4 linked regions of the Callithrix jacchus genome follow. The protein of the gene in region 2 interacts with the protein of the main gene of each other region in a biochemical or structural test. Links are inferred from orthologs where the notes say so. Each region holds a gene or a part of one and is shown on either strand. Other genes may lie near its edges. The genes, in order: PPP2R1A, DCAF1, UNG and NF2.

The links.
Region 1: of the proteins of DCAF1 (region 2) and PPP2R1A, one has a biochemical effect on the other in vitro, tested with the Homo sapiens proteins (2 studies listed by BioGRID, with this or other methods). The link is inferred for Callithrix jacchus from reciprocal best matches to the Homo sapiens genes DCAF1 and PPP2R1A.
Region 3: of the proteins of DCAF1 (region 2) and UNG, one has a biochemical effect on the other in vitro, tested with the Homo sapiens proteins (2 studies listed by BioGRID, with this or other methods). The link is inferred for Callithrix jacchus from reciprocal best matches to the Homo sapiens genes DCAF1 and UNG.
Region 4: the proteins of DCAF1 (region 2) and NF2 form a complex in vitro, tested with the Homo sapiens proteins (3 studies listed by BioGRID, with this or other methods). The link is inferred for Callithrix jacchus from reciprocal best matches to the Homo sapiens genes DCAF1 and NF2.

Annotation. Positions count from the first base shown.
Region 1 is NC_133523.1:45,575,323-45,579,444, reverse strand, and holds the start of PPP2R1A (serine/threonine-protein phosphatase 2A 65 kDa regulatory subunit A alpha isoform), read right to left. Parts: upstream 2,821-4,122; 5' UTR 2,747-2,820; coding exon 2,669-2,746; intron 1-2,668. UniProt on the Homo sapiens protein: The PR65 subunit of protein phosphatase 2A serves as a scaffolding molecule to coordinate the assembly of the catalytic subunit and a variable regulatory B subunit.
Region 2 is NC_133516.1:34,070,578-34,074,860, forward strand, and holds the start of DCAF1 (DDB1- and CUL4-associated factor 1), read right to left. Parts: upstream 2,816-4,283; 5' UTR 2,608-2,815; intron 1-2,607. UniProt on the Homo sapiens protein: Acts both as a substrate recognition component of E3 ubiquitin-protein ligase complexes and as an atypical serine/threonine-protein kinase, playing key roles in various processes such as cell cycle, telomerase regulation and histone modification.
Region 3 is NC_133510.1:111,975,619-111,979,723, reverse strand, and holds the start of UNG (uracil-DNA glycosylase), read right to left. Parts: upstream 2,806-4,105; 5' UTR 2,726-2,805; coding exon 2,594-2,725; intron 2,242-2,593; exon of another isoform or gene 2,084-2,241; coding exon of another isoform or gene 1,979-2,083; coding exon 1,772-1,978; intron 1,209-1,771; coding exon 1,113-1,208; intron 1-1,112. UniProt on the Homo sapiens protein: Uracil-DNA glycosylase that hydrolyzes the N-glycosidic bond between uracil and deoxyribose in single- and double-stranded DNA (ssDNA and dsDNA) to release a free uracil residue and form an abasic (apurinic/apyrimidinic; AP) site.
Region 4 is NC_133502.1:200,270,120-200,273,679, reverse strand, and holds part of NF2 (merlin), read right to left. Parts: intron 2,326-3,560; coding exon 2,220-2,325; intron 1-2,219. UniProt on the Homo sapiens protein: Probable regulator of the Hippo/SWH (Sav/Wts/Hpo) signaling pathway, a signaling pathway that plays a pivotal role in tumor suppression by restricting proliferation and promoting apoptosis.

The sequences.
Region 1 (4,122 bases), on a different chromosome or scaffold from region 2:
CACTGTGGGAGGCCGAGATGGGCGGATCATCTGAGGTCAGTAGTTTGAGACCAGCCTGGTCAACCTGGAGAAACCCCATCTCTTCTAAAAATACGAAAAAAAAATTAGCCAGGGGTGGTGGCGCATGCCCAGTTACTCAGGAGTCTGAGGCAGGAGAATCACTTGAACCCAGGAGGTGGAGGCTGCAGTGTGCCAAGACTGCATCACTGCACTCCAGCCTGGGCAACAGTGGGAGACTCTGCCAGAAAAAAAAAAAAAAAAAAAAAAAAAGGGCCATTACACATCTGCTTCCTCTTCCTCGGAGGCTCCTCCCCACCTTCTTTCAGTCTCTTCTCAAACTCTGCATCCTCAGAGGGGCGTTGCCCGAATGGCCTACTTAAAATGCATCTGCCCCACCCAACTTTGTAATCCTGCTTCCTCTGCCTTCAGGTGTGTTCTCAAACATCATCTCAACAAGGCCTCCCCAGACTACACTTTAAAACTGCATCTCCTCTCTCTCTTACTTTTCTCCCTGACACTCATCCGCATGTAATACAGTATACTCTTCGTTTACTGTCTGTCTTTCCTCACTACAAGGTAAACTCCCCAAGTGCGGGATTTTTTGTCTCGTTCCCTGCTATACCAGTGCCTAGAACAGTGCCCCGCACAGAACACTCGCCCAATTCAATGTGGATTCACTACCACAACATCCTGTTTGTTCCCTTCCCATCACTTTTCATTCAGCTCTGTTGGCCTGTTTCACACGCAGATCCTGTAGAGCAACTGGTGTCTCCACTACACCCCCAGCATCATACCTGATACACGCCATGTGTTTACTGAACAAAAGAATTCATACGGCCGGGCGCGGTGGCTCACGCCTGTAATCCCAACACTTTGGGAGGCCGAGGCGGGTGGATCATGAGGTCAGGAGTTTAAGACCAGCCTCACCAATATAGTGAAAGCCCATCTCTACTAAAAATACAAAAATTAGCCAGCTGTGGTGACATGCACCTGTAGTCCCAGCTACTCTGGAGGCTGAGGCAGGAGAATCGCTTGAACCTGGGAGGCGGAGGTTGCAGTGAGCCAAGATCATGCCACTGCATTCCAGCCTGGGCGACAGAGTGAGACTCCATCTCAAAAAAAAAAAAAAAATTCAATACAACAGCCCTATGAACTACATAATTATCCCCAATCAAGAGAAGAGCAAACAGAGGCCTAGAGAGATTAACTAATTTGTCCATGTCAATCAGTGAGAAGTGGAAGGGCCAGGAGTACAACCACGGTCTGTCTGCCACCAGAAAGTGATATACCAGGAACCTAGGGATGGGACCCACGTTTTGTAGGTTACCCAGTGCACTTGTTCAATTTTATAAACGGGAAAACTGAGGCCTAAAGGGAGGATGGGACCTCTTTAATCACCACTCCCAATAAGTGCAGCTAATATTTATCCGGCCCTTATGGCAGGCCTGACAGCACTCAACTTTGTGTCATAATTCATTCAGCCCTTCAACAAGTCCCTCCAGCAAGACGAGGGCTACAATTAGCCCACATTTTATGGGACAGAGGCCCAGAGCGGTGAAATAATTTGCACAAGGTCACACAGCGGGTGGGAGGTGAACTTGAAGTCCTAACTGTTTTCAATCCCACACCACCTTGGGCCACCTCATCCCATAACCAGAAATGTTCACCCGGGCCGGGCGCGGTGGCTCACCCCTGTAATCCTAGCACTTTGGGAGGCCGAGGCGGGTGGATCGCCTAAGGTCAGGAGTTTGAGACCAAGCCTGGCTAGCAAAGCAAAATCCCATCTCTACTAAGAATACAAAAATTAGTTGGGCGTGGTGGATCGCGGCGGTAATCTCAGCTACTTAGGGGGCTGAGGCGCGAGGACGACTTGAACCCGGGAGGCGAGGCTGCACTGAGCCGAGATCGCGCCTCTGCACCCCCACCTGGGTGACACAGCGAGCTCGGTATCGAAAAAAAAAAAAAATTAGGAAGAAATGTTCATCGGCTTAGCAAAGCCTTCGCCCCCTATCCTGGTCAATGGGAGGATCCGGGGGTGGGGAGGCAGCTTTCTACAATGTAATTCGCCCCTAAATTTGGCTAGTCCCCACTTTTTGGGGGGGGCGCTGTTTCTGCATCCCCCTCCTCTTAGGACACCTACACCAAAATGAGAAGCGTAGGAAAAGCAGGAATTGCGATGGCAGGCTTTCGCCTCTCGGTCCCCACTTGGCCCAGGAGTATAAACCCAGAAAAGAAAAAAAAAACAAAAAACTCTCCAGGTCCCGATCCACCAGGCGGCCCTCCCCCACTCGGAGCAAGTCACGCGCGCCCCACATCCCCAAGGGACCATTCGGAAGCCGCCGCCAATCACGGAGTCCTCCTCTCTCCTCTCCCCAACCCAGCCCACCGATCGTAGCCCAGGTCGCGGCCTCCCAGGACCCAGGGCCACCGCGCGCACTCTGCAGGCCCGGGACCCTCGAGGCTGGCGCTGGCCCCCGCCCTCCGCTGGGTCGACACCCAATCGGGGGCGCCGTCTCAATGAGTCCGGGCACCCGGGGAGGTAAGAAAAGCACACTGATTGGCCGCCGCTTCCTTCCGCCACTCCCAGCGAACGCTGAGTCTTCGCGAGTGCTGCCGGTGTCCCAAGATCCCCCTCCCCACTTCCCTAACTCCCCCGTAGCCTCCGGACCTGAACATCCTCGTTGCGGAGTTCGTCTATGAGCACCGCGATGGGGTACAACGAGTCGTCGCCGTCGGCCGCCGCCATCTTGGCTCCGTCCCGTTCCTGTCAGACTGCGGCCAGCGCTGTGCTGAAACCCGGGGCAGAGCTGGGAGGAGGAGGAGGAAACGCGCGCGTGGGGGCGCCCAAGCCAGTTTACAGGGGCTGCTCCATGGTCATTGGCCGCGCTACGCCGGGCTAAGCCCGCGTTTCTTTGGTCCAGACTAGTGAAGTCCCGCCCATTTCCCATTTGCCATTGGTCGATTGAACGAGATTTGACTAGTTTGAGCCTAGGAGAGCGAGAAAGAGGAACTTAGCGGTGTCCTAGCGACCAACATTGTACCCGCCCTCGTCTCCGCTGACAACGACCGAGACGAGCAGTTGTTTGTAGCCAATGAAGGGCGAGATGGGGAGGAGGCTAAGCCTGCCTTTCGGTAAATCCCGGAGGCTTCTGCGCGTGCGTCGATGGTAATACATGACGTCATGTGGGGAGCGGTAGGGTGTGCAGGTTTTGGGTTATCAAGCCGTGGTTCCATTGGCTGGCGGAGTGGCCCCCCCCCCGCGCCTTTGCGCGGGAGGAGAACGGAATGAGACTTTGTATTTATTTTATGCCAAGGCCTAGAGAAGGGAGTGACTTGCCCTGTTCTCTCTCTTTCTCTATCTTTTTTTTTTTTTTTTTGCTTTTTTAAAGACATTGTCTCGCTGTGTTGCCCAGGCTGGAGTGCAGTGGCGCGATCTCGGCTCATTGCCGCCTGGACCTCCCCAGTCTGAAACGACCCTCTGGCCTCAGCCTGCAGAAAATTTTTGTAGAACCGAGTCTATGTTGAGCTCAGTTGTCTTGCTCTTTGGATGAAACCCAAACCCCTCGGCTGGTATCCAATACCCAGATTACAGGCGCGAGGCATCAAGCCAGGCCTAATCTCTGTTTTTAACCTCCCTAAACACATTGCCCCCCCCCCACCAACCCACCCACTGAAATCTTAGGACCACTGTAACTAAGGGAGTTGGAGGGATGGGAAGGCCTGGGATGCTCTTTCCTCTTTCATTCTGCTACGCTTGAAGGGCTGGACTGAGCTAGCGCTCTGACAGGTCTGAATGCCCCCAGCATCTTTTTCTTTCTTTTTTTTTTTGAGATGGAGTCTCAGTCTGTCGCCCAGGCTGCAGTGCAGTTGCCTGATCTCAGCACAGTGCAACCTCTACCTCCCTGGCTCAAGTGATTCTGCTGCCTCAGCCTCCGGAGTAGCTGGGTAAATTTTGTATTTTTAGTAGAGACGGGGTTTTCACCACTTTGGGCTAGGCTGACCTCAAACTCCTGACCTCAGGGTGATCTGCCTGCCTTGGCCTTCTAAAGCGAGCCACCACACCTGGCCTTTTCTTTCTTTCTTTTCTTTTCTTTTTTTTTTTTTTTTGAGATGGAGTTTCGT
Region 2 (4,283 bases):
TATTTGAGACAGAGTTTCACTCTTGTTGCCCAGGCTGGACTGCAACCATAACCTCCACCTCCCGGGTTCAAGCGATTCTCCTGCCTCAGCCTCCCTAGTAGCTGGGATTACAGGCACATGCCACCACACCTGGCTAATTTTGTATTTTTCGTAGAGAAGGGGTTTCTCCGTGTTGGTCAGTCTGATCTCGAACTCCCAACGTCAGGTGATCCCCCAGCCTCGGCCTCCCAAAGTGCTGGGATTACAGGCATGAGCCACCCAAAATAAATTTTTTATTTTTATTTTCTTTAAAAAAGCAGAAACTCAGCCTGGGGTCCTGGGTTGATGATGGGAGCAAGAAGCATTAAGGAGGGGCTTTGGAGAACCCAGGGCCTAAGAGGCTGGGGAAGCAGAGCAGAAGATGAGCAGGGCCTGTCCAGCAGCCACACCCTCAGGAATCTGCACTCTGTAACTCCTGTAGCCTCCTCTACCCCTGCCAACACCTCCCCCTCCCTGACATGCACACAGCCATGCACCTACAGACACCCCTAAACACCTCCTTCCCACCTCTGGGAAGGAGAAGGGGGAGCACCCAGGCTTTCCCAACTGCACACACATTCCAAGTGTGCTTGGTGACACATTTCACTGTTCAAGTATTACATTTGCCAGATACACAAGCATGCATTAGGCACCCAGTCCTCACAACAAATACTTTCACATCTAAGCATATGAACACACAAAGCTACAGACAATCCAGGGCCACATCCTGGCTTGGTTCTGGCACATGGGTCCTGCATCACTGGAAGGAGATTTATTGGCATCTTTGGTGGGACATCTTTGGACTCTGTCTTACCCTGCCCTGCCTCTTCCACCCCCTGCTCTGTAGTGTGCCTGAGAAAGAAGAAGCCTCATCTGAAAGAGCGAGGAGTGCTTTTGGAGCTGCCCAGAAGCAGAGAAAATGCAAGAAGAGCCCAGCCCTGGCCCCAGGACCAAGGCCTACAGATAGGCATGCTCTACCTACTCCCACGTCCAAGCACACCCACTACCTGGGTAGGAAAGTGGACAGCAGCAGGTTCTCTGGGCCTCAGTCTTCTCCTTCACTCTCCTCCCTCTCCTGCTCCCATCCTTCTACGAGCTTTTCACTCCCAGCACCTTCTAGGCTTACCCAGGTGCACCCACCAGCTCATCCTTACCCTGGTGTCACCCCACAATTCCTGTGCTTCCTCCAGCAATGCCCTTCCCTAGGGCTGGGAAGTGAGGCCAGCTGTCCCATATCCACCCCTGCTCTCCTTTAGGCTAGACAAGACTGCTACTGCAAGTGTCCAGGAGTGTCACAGAAGCTACCAATTAGAGGCTCAAGGTTACCATCCTTGAGAACACCAGCCTAGACAAAGAGGAAATCCCAGTCATTCACTGGGTGCCCTGCTCCTGCCTCGTGGCCCTGATAGCCCCCCAGAGAAAATGAGGAGAGGGAATGCCACTCCATTTCCCAAAGGGTGTGTAATTATGTCTGATTACATTCACATCCACCACTCTCACTTTACAGAGAAAGAAACAGATGCCACAAAGTCAACAATGTAAGTGCCCACATGGTCCATGGGCACAAGTACTGGGGAGATAAAAAAGCAAGCACACCCAGCCTCTTTTGCCTCAGGTTCCTGGGGTTGGAAATCCTTCCAGGAGGAAGAAGAGTGGAATTAACATTGGGGAGAGGGTCTGTGTTGGCCTGGCCTCCAAGCTCTCAGAAACCCCTGTATTTGTTTTTTATTTCTGTATTTTCTTGAGACGGAGTCTCGCTCTGTCCCCAGGCTAAAAGGCAATAAAGCAGTCTCTTCTCACTGCAACCTCTGCCTCCTGGGTTCAAGTGATTTTCCTGTCTCAGCCTCCTGAGTAGCTGGGATTACAGGTGCACACCACCACACCTGGCTAGTTTTTTGTATTTTTAGTAGAGATGGGGTTTCATCATGTTGCCCAGGCTGGTCTGGAACTCCTGACCTCAAGTGATCCACCCACCTTGGCCTCCCAAAGTGCTGGGATTACAGGTGTGAGCCACTGTGCCCGGCCCAGAATGATCTTTAGCTACTCAGGAGGCTGACACAGAATTGCTTGAACTGGCACCCTGGAGGTGGAAGCTGCAGTGGGCCAAGGTCACGCCACTGCACTCCAGCCTGGGCTATGGAGCAAGACTCCATCTAAAAAAAATAAACAAATAAATAATTTTAAAATAAAAATAAAAATCATTCTTATGGCTAGGCGTGGTGGCTCACGCCATAATCCCAGCACTTTGGGAGGCCGAGGCTGATGGATCACCTAAGGTTGGGAGTTCTAGACCAGCCTGGCCAAGATAGCAAAACCCTATCTCTACTAAAAAGGTACAAAATTTATCCGGCTGTGCGCCTGTATCCCAGCTACTCAGAGTCCTGAGGCACAAGAATTGCTTGAACCCAGTGAGCCGAGATTGCTCCACTGCACTCCAGCCTAGGTGACAGAGCAAGACTCTGTCTCAAAATAAAATAAAAAAATGATAATAATAATAATATTTGAAATTAAAGAAAAGAGAGGGGGGGCCTAGAGAAAAATGGCTTTGTCAAATGGGACAAATTCAGAGGTTAGAGATCCACCCATCACCTGAAGTAAATACCTCTACCGTGGGCCTGGCCCTCTTGGAGATGTTGCCAGATACAGCCTGGAGTACCCAGTTAGGCCTGGGAGCCAAAATCCTCAAGGAGAGGAGTTTCTAGGTGTAGAGGGTGTCATGGGCTCTTACTGTGGGGAAGCTCTTCTTCATCCCTTAGAGATGGAGATGTCTCTCTATGAAAAGTCACATGATATTCCTAAGGGGAGCCCCCTTTGCCCTGCTCCTGCTTCACCAGGCCCAGACTTGTCACAAGATAGCCTTCTATGAAGTCACAAAGCTGGCTGCCCCACCACAGGACCAGGGACCAGGGCAACCAGGGACTAGTGGGCATGACTTTGGGGGAGAAAGGACTTCATAAGCAGCCTGTAGACTCTGGAGAGAGGTGTAGAGTCTGGAGGAGCTCACCAGACCAGCCTCAGGCTCTAGTGGGTGAGAAGGGTTGTTGGAGACTCCAGATGGGGTCAGTTTCTCTGGTCTCAGTCATCACCAAAAGATGAGAATGGTTGGGGTCTGAGCCTGTATTCCTTAACCATTGTCCTGTCCTTTGAGACCCTAGGGCAGGAGGAGGACCCTTGACCCAGCTGAGTACATATAAGTGTCCTGATCACTGATGTTCTGGGTGATCTATTGAAAGAGGAGGTTAAGGCCCCTGATCCAGGGACCAGATATTCTCCTCAGTGCCATCCCTCTATGACTATCTTTTTTTTTTTTTTTTTTTTTTTTTTTTTTTCCTTTTTTGAGATGAAGTTTCACTCTTGTTGCCCAGGCTGGAGTGCAGTGGCATAATCTTGGCTCACTGAGATGTACATTTTCCGGGTTCAAGCGATTTTCATGCCTCAGCCTCTCAAGTAGTTGGGATTACAGGTGCCTGCCACCACACCTGTAAATTTTGTATTTTTAGTAGAGACAGGGTTTCAACATGTTGGCCAGGCTGGTGTCGAACTCCTAACCTCAGATGATCCACCTACCTCGGCCTCCCAAAGTGCTGGGATTACATGTATGAGCCATGCCTGACTATCCATTCCTACCTGTTTCCTGGGCAAGCACATAGACCAAACTCGGCTGCAAAGCAGCCCTGGGCTGGGCGAGGTGGCTCACACCTGTAATTCCAGCACTTTGGGAGGCCGATGTGGGCAGATCACGAGTTCAAGAGATCGAGACCATCCTGACCAACATGGTCATCTCTACTGAAAAATACAAAAATTAACTGGGTGTGGTAGCACACACCTGTAGCCCCAGCTACTTGGGAGGCTGAGGCAGAATAATCACTTGAACTGGGAGGCAGAGGTGGTGAACTGGGAGGCAGTGAGCCGAGATTGTGCCACTGCACTCCAGCCTGGTGTCAGAGCCAGACTCTGTCTCAAAAAAAAAGAAGAAAAGCAACCCTGGTAGCCTTGGTAGCCTGGAACCCCTAACTGCTGGATTACACAGAGGAAGAAGAGTGTCAGAAGAAACTAGAGTGCTCAGTGCCTACTCTCTCCAAAGGGTAGAGAATCCCACCTACTGAAGAGCCAATCCAGGGGAGAAAACAGAAAACCACTCAGGGAAGAAAGGGTCATTCCATAAAATGTGGAAACTCAGTTACTGCCTCGGAAGGTCACACTTTGTAAGTGGGGCTTGGGATCAGCCACTGGATGGAAGCTTTGTCTAAAAACAGAAGGCGGGG
Region 3 (4,105 bases), on a different chromosome or scaffold from region 2:
TCATTAAATCACAAGATTCTTGCCCCAGTTTACAAAATGGGGGAGGAAAACGAGTAAGAAACCTAAAAGTCCAGTACGTGCTAAATGCATCGTAGGAAAACCGGATCATACAGGTATCAGGCAACAGGATTCAAGGAGGCGCCACAGAGGTATCCACTTGATTTTTAAGAGACAGAAGTGTCGGGAGGGGTTTGTCACACTGTCCAGCTCTGGAGTGGGAGCTGGAGGTAAGGCTGAGAGGTAGGACACAGCCCTATTTAAAAAGGGTTGCTCCGCTTTCATAGTTCAACAGTAAAGAGCCACAGTTTTTTTTTTTTTTTTTTTTGGAGACCGGAGTCTGCCTCTGTCACCTAAGCTGGAGTGCAGTGGTGTGATCTGGGGCACACTGCAACCGCCACCTCCAGGGCTCACACGATTCTCCCACCTCAACCTGAAGAATAGCTGGGATTACAGGCATGCCCAATCATGCCTGGCTAATTTTTGTATTTTAAGAGACCGGGTTTCACCATGTTGGCCAGGCTGGTCTTGAACTCCTGACATCAAGTGACCTTCCCACCTTGGCCTCCCGAAGTGCTGGGATTACAGGCATGAGCCACCATGCCTGGCCCCACGGACTTTTGAACATGAGACTGATGAGAGCCACCAAGCAGCAACTGTTATATAAGAGGAACTAACGCAAAGGGATCTGTTAACAGAAACATAAAACCGTTCAGGCCAAAAGTAAAGAGCTTGAAAGTGCTAACTATAAGACAGCGTGGTCAGGCCAAGGTGGGTTTGACTATAGCCGCAACACATTTAACTGCTTTGTGTGTCAGTCTGAACTTCATCGACACCACCGTAATATGTAACACTGCGAGAGGTTTCCAGATTTAAAAAAAATACAAGAAATAAAAGCATAGGATGTACATATTTCTCCTTTTTGCTGTATAAATAGCATGTGTCAAACATTAAAAAGAGTAAATATAGGCTGAAATACAGTCAGCCGAACCTCACAATTGCAGTGTTTTATTTACTACTGAATGATGGACTGTGGCTTAACTCCGGTGTCCCTAATTTAAGAATACTATTTGACTCCTTCTCCCCAATAAAAATCATCAACAACTTATACTTACATCTCTTATGTCACACATCTGAGTCCAGGTGAAGACTTGGTGTTGGGGTGGATAAACCGTGTAATGCTTTCTTTCTTCTGCAACAAATCCCATTAGCTGATTTAAAGATAAACTAGACTTAAAATCAGATTCTCATTGGAAACCATAAGAATTCATAAGAAAGCTTCTAGGGTATGTTATTTGGAACATCGTTAGTTCTTTGCCATGCTTTATATCCAAATTCTTAAAAAAAAAAAAAAAAACAAAAACCAACAAACTAAAACAGTGCCTGCCCCTCACCTAAGTGGTTCAATCAGGTCAATTCCCTGCCTCTTTCAGGAGTGGTCCTGACAGTGCCACTCCTCCCCGTTTCTTTTTAAACGTCAAGCCAGGTTTCATTCAGGATGGTTGGTGGTTTTACAATGCCAGCCTTTCCTGGACAGCAGACTAGGTGGCTAAAATGAAGTCATGATACCATCTCCCCGATCATTAACAACTTTAACCAATATAAAGGTGCAGATTAAAACATCATGGCTTTCTTAAACCTCTATGGAGTAAAGGACGTTGAAGGGGGTACAACCTGAGCCTACGGAAACGTGTACTTGGCCGGCTACACTAACAAGACAAAGAACCGGCAGCTTCCACATTTACCCTTATGGAAGGTGTATTTCCATATTCACCTTGATAAAATACGGCTTCCCGAACTCCCCGCTGAGGTGCTTCTTCCAGCTCTCCCCAAAGCCCACGGGCACGTTGCGGGCGGCGAGTCTGAGGAGGGCCGCGGCCTTGTTCCTCTGGATCCGGTCCAACTGCTCCGCGCTCAGCGGCGAGGAGGGTGGCGTCCCGGGCTCATCCTGCTCGGCCCGGGCCTTCTTGGCGGGGCTGGCCTGCAAGGAGTCCCCGCAGAGGCGGCTCCAGAACAGTAGCGGCCCCTTCCCAGACGTCCGCAGCTTCCGGCCCAACCCCCACAGCCCAAGGCAGAAGCTGCCCATTTGAGGAGCAGGACTCAGAACCGGACAATAGGAGCCAGGGCTAGGCCTGGTCCGGGAATTGGGAGTTAGGTTCTAAACTGGAGGGAAAAGAGGGGCTGGGAGGCGTCCCCGCGGGGTCATCAGGGGTATCGCGGGGACTGGGGATCCTGCACAGAGGCGCCCCGCCCCTGCGAGACCCGCCTCCCGCGTCCCCACGCGGCCTTTTCGCGGCAAAAACCTTCCCTCTGGGTCCCGCCCCCTCTCCCCTGATTGGACAGCGCGCTGAGCAAGGCGGGCCCACAGCGCGCGGATTGGCGCGCTGGGCCCCGAGGCGCGTTCCCATTGGCTGACCCCTCAGCATGGCGGCCCAAGGGGGGACCGCGGCGGCTGTTTTGAACACATGGAGGCTGCTTGGAAAGGGGAGCCAGGGTACGGACTCAGAGGCGCACTCCTACACGCCCTCAGTCAGACGGGGCTCACCACCTTCCTTCCCCTTGACCACCCCAGCCCTGGCCCCACGTCGCGCCTCACCGCCGCATCTCCGCTCTCTTCAGCCACTGCCACCACGCCAGTCCCCAGGTCAGCCGGCTCCGGGCTGGTGGGGCGTCGCTTCCTGGCGGGGCTAGCGGAGAAGAAGGAGTAGAGCGTCTTCTGGCCGATCATCCCGGAGCCGAGGAGGCAGCGAATGCCTGCTGCCGGGGAACCCGCGAAGCTGGTCCTGGCTGTGGCGGTCAGCAATTGGCGCCAAGCGGCCCGCGCATGCTCCGAGCTGGGGGCTTTGCTGGGGGCGGGGGGCTGTGGAAGGCCTAGTGCGCATGTGCGGGAGGGGCTGCCTTGCAACGCCTCTGGGAGGAGGTGGGGCGTGTAAAGGTGCCCCGGGGCCTATTATTTCATTAGCCTTCGGCTCAACTCTGACCATTGGAAAGTCTCTCCAGGCTCAGCTGCAAGAAAAAAAAGCCGGGCGCGGTGGTGCATGCCTGTAATCCTAGGGTTTTGGGAGGCCCTGGCGGGAGAATCGCTTGAGGCCAGAAGGTCGCAGCTGTAGTGAGCTTTGATCGGGCCATTGCACTCCAGCCTGGGCGACAGAACGAGACCGCCTCTGGCGCGGCGTGGCGGGGGTGGGGGGAGAAAAGTACCTGCCCCTTAGGGGTGTTGTGGGAGTGCAGTGAACAATATAATAGTATTGCCCAGGCTTGATGGCTCAGGCCTATTATCCCAACACTGTAATCCGAGGCAGGTGGATCGCCTGAGGTCAGGAGTTCCAGACCAGCCTGGCCAACATGGTGAGACCTCGTCTCTACTAAAAATACAAAAATTAGCCGTGCGTGGTGGCGCGCGCCTGTAATCCCAGCTACTTGGGAGCCTGAGGCTGGAGAATCGCTTGAACCCGGGAGGCGGAGGTTGCAGGGAACCGAGATTGCGCCACTGCACTCCAGCCTGGGTAACAGAGTGAGACTCCATCTCAAAAACAAACACACAAAAGATAAAATAGTATTTGTTGAACTGTTATATACATTATCTAACACAATTTTCATGGCCTACTTTATGACAATAAACTAAGGCTTAGAGCAGGCAAACATTTTGCCTAATGTATCAGGCTTGTGGGAGACTTTTGGGTCAGAGAGGTTAAACCCCAACGATTTATTCTCCAAATGACACCACTGTGCCTCCTCCCCACCACTACTAATACACTTAGGATTCTCTTTCCCTCCCTCACATCCAAACCATCCATATCTCCCTTTGATTCTTTCTCCAAAACAAACCTCAAATTCAGCTGCTGCTCTTGCATCTCCTGGCTACAGAAGACCAGCTGGGAAGTGTTCTCCTTTCTAGAGAGAGATTTTTACATCATGACAGTACCCAGGACCGGCCCAGTGCTATGGCTCACGTCTGTAATCCCAGAACTTTGGGAGGCCGAAGGGAGGAGCGTATCGCTTGAGCCTAGGAGTTCGAGACCAGCCTGGCCAACATGGCAAAAACCCATCTCTACTAAAAATACAAAAATCAGTCAGGTGTGGTGGCATGCACTTGTAATCCCAACTA
Region 4 (3,560 bases), on a different chromosome or scaffold from region 2:
GTCTTTCTACTATTTGCAAGTTTCCTGCAAACGATCTGCCTCTTTTTCATCCTTGTATCCCTTATTAAGTCCAGGACAGTGTCTGGGAAAGAGCAGAGGCTTGACACATTCATTTGAGACACTTTCAAGGCCTGAGGCAGACCGTCTGCAAGGGTGGCAAGAGAAGGCTCCTGGGGTGCCAGGGACATCCTGTTTTCTGATCTGGGTGCTGGGTACATGGGTATGTTCAGTTTGTGAAAATTCTTCAAGCTGTATAGTTGTAATTTCGGCACTTCTCTATATGTATGTTATACGTCATAAAAATTTCCAGAAAAAACAAGTTCTAGTTGCTGTAGCACTAGTGAGAGCATGAACTGGGACGACTTCTTTGGAGAGTATCGAAATGGAAAATTTGACCCCACAGTTCTATTATGAGAATTTATTCTACCAGTATATCCCTGTGTGTGTGTCAAGATTTGTGTTCAGGGATGTTCAGTGCTATTTTGCTCAAAACTGCAAAAGAAAACAGACTAAATACTCATCCATGAGGGACTGGTTAAATGAATTATAATCCATCTACACAATAAAACTTGATTAAAAAGGTGATATGAATCATCTCCTCTAGGATTGACTGCTAAGAGGAAAGAGTGGATACAGCAGTGTATAAAGTTTGCTCCAGTGTGTATTTTAAAAACAACACATAGACTGGGCGCGGTGGCTCACACCTATAATCCCAGCACTTTGGGAAGCTGAGGCGAGCAGATCACTTGAGCTTAGGAGTTTGAGACCAGCCTGGGCCACATGTCAAAACCCTGTCCCTACCAAACACACACACACAAAATTAGCTGGGTGTGGTGACGCACACCTATGGTCCCAGCTTCTCAAGAGACAGAGGCGGGAGGATCGCTTGAGCCTAGGAGGTAGAGGTTGCACTGAGCCGAGATTGTGCCACCGCACTCCAGCCTGGGTGACAGAGTGAAACTCTCTAAATAAATTTTAAAAAAAAGTAATAATAAATAAAAACAACACACACATCAGTAATAATAAATAAAAACAACACACACATCTCAAGTGTTCAGCCAAGCTGAGGGCTCAGATGACTACAGTCCCAGCTACCATCTGACTGTGACCACCAGAGAGATCCCCAGCAAGGATCTCTGTCTGGCCCAGTCAACCCAACCAGCCACCAGAGGTACTAATAAAGGGTTGTTTTGGGCCACACGGTTGGCTTGGGTGGGTTGTTACATAGTAATAGAGAACCAGGATATATGACAACAGCAAACTGCTTACATTTCCCCCACCTTGAACCCCAGGCAGCTTGTGCCTCTGGTGCTCTTTGTGCATCTGTGTCATGTATGTGCCTGTGCCATGTGCATGAATGTATGTATGGGTATGTGTGTGTTTGTCTGTGCTGTGTGTGGATGTGCCATGTGCATGACTGTGCCGTGTATGAGTCTGGGCCATGTGTGCATCTGTGCCCTCATCCTGAATACCCTATGTTCTCTTCTCCACCTGGCTACTTCCTGTTCCTACTTCAAGCTTCAGTGCAGACACCATACTGAGCCTCTCCTGCCCCTCCAGGATGGGCTGTGTCCTCCTCCTCTAGGCACCCATGCACCCTGAGAACACCTGTCAGGATAGAGACTTCCAACTATGTGGCACAATGTGGATACAGAACAAATATGCAAAAAAAAAAAAAAAGTGCTGAACTGAATGCACAGAAGAAAGGAAGGAAAGAGGCTTCTATTCATTTTGTGACCCCATTTAATAGGAAGTCTGCCTCTCTGTCCTGAAACTGAGATTGGCTGCTCATTCTTGCACAGCAATAATTCACTCTGAGATGTACAGCCAATCCCTTCCCAAAACTATAATTATGATATATGGTATATACTGATAGTTGAAGATTACATTCAGCTCAGCATTAAGAGGCAAGAGAGCAAATTCTCTTGAGGATAATCTGGGACTATATTACTTAGAACATGAAAAAGATTCCAGAGCTGGAAAAGGCCCTGTTGCCTATTATCTAGGCAACCAGAGAGACAACTAACTAGTCCAAAGCCAAATGGCAGACCAGGGTGTTTTACCCAGTCCCTAACTGCAGGCTCTCTGCACCTCTCATCCTGCCATGCGTTTACTTGAATGGTCAGCCTGAAGGCACTGCCAGATGAACCGAAGGGCCGGAAGGAAAGAGAATATCACCAGGGCTAAGGCAGCCCCAGGTGGCAACCCCACAGGCTCACCGGGTACGTGGGCTTGGTGGCGATCTCCAGGAGCTTTTGCTTGGCTCTTCGCTCCGCCTCACGCGCTTCCTGCAGGTCCTGCTTCAGCTGATCGGCCTCTTTGGCCCTGCAAGGAAAGGAGGAGATGTCAGCATCACAGAACAGGGCAGGTGGAGGGAAAAGACCCCACCCTACCTGTGCAAAGGAGAGACCTTGGTTAACCCTGAGGATGGTACCTGAAGAGGCGAAAAAGGACAGCGGGACAGGGACATTTACATGAAAACTTCCAAAGCAAGGACAACACTCCTGAAGATTTTCATTTGAGCTGGTAAATCTAAACTGGAAGAGCAGGAAAACTGGTGGGGAATGAGAGAAACCAGACCGTCTGCAGCCGGGAGAGGGAGGAGCTGGAGGAAGCACCAGCAGCTTTCTCTGCTTTATTTTTGGGTGAAAGTAAGCTGGGCAAAGGAAAAGCCTGGAGGATCAAAGTTCTTATATCGGATCGCAAAGCGCAGTATATGCAAGAGCTGTGTCTTCACAGTCCCCGGGTAAAACACCTGCAGGCCTTGTGCCCACTTTCTCCAGCAGGAAGATGAGCCCTGTCACTGAGGGCACTGCACCTTGGTGAAGATCCTCACCCTGCGGGGCTTGGGGTGGACACAGCATGTGAGGCTTGGCACAGGGACCTGGCCCAACCTGCATCACAGGTTGTGTGTGTGCAGTCCCTAGTCCAAGCCAAATGGCAGACCAGGGTGTTCTATCCAGTCCCTAACTGCAGGCTCTCTGCACCTCATCTGCCATGTACAGGGAGTGTGACCTGCATACAGCAAGGGGGCCGAAGCAGGACAGGCAAAAAGAAACCATATTCCCAGAATGACATGCAAAGAGTGGTAAGGAAACTGTAGTGAATGCACCTTGGTAACTAAAAGCCAAATTCAAGTGCTCTAAATCAACAGCCAAAAGCTGTGGGGAATGTGTCAGTGTTTATCTGAAGGTTGCAGGCCTAGAATAGTCTTTCAAAAGTACAGACAACAGTTCCATCCTTCAACCTGGCCATGAGTGGGACATACCAGTCACAGAGACTATCCTAGCCCTCCTCCCCCATGTGCCAAGGAAGGCTGGGGGATGCAGGCACTAGTTTCCCTTTAAAGGTAAGCAGCTGCTGTTCTGCAGCTCCACCGAATGAAAGCAGAAAAGAACCTTGTTATTGTTGTTTTTTTTTAATGAACAAAGAGCCTTCTCACGTCTCTTCAGCTGAAAGCAGTCTGTGGATATACTCAGGGGTTTTCCTGCATACACGGCCATCAGAGGGTCAGGGGCTTATCACAGAGGTACAAGCCCGACCAGAGAGGTGCACCTGGC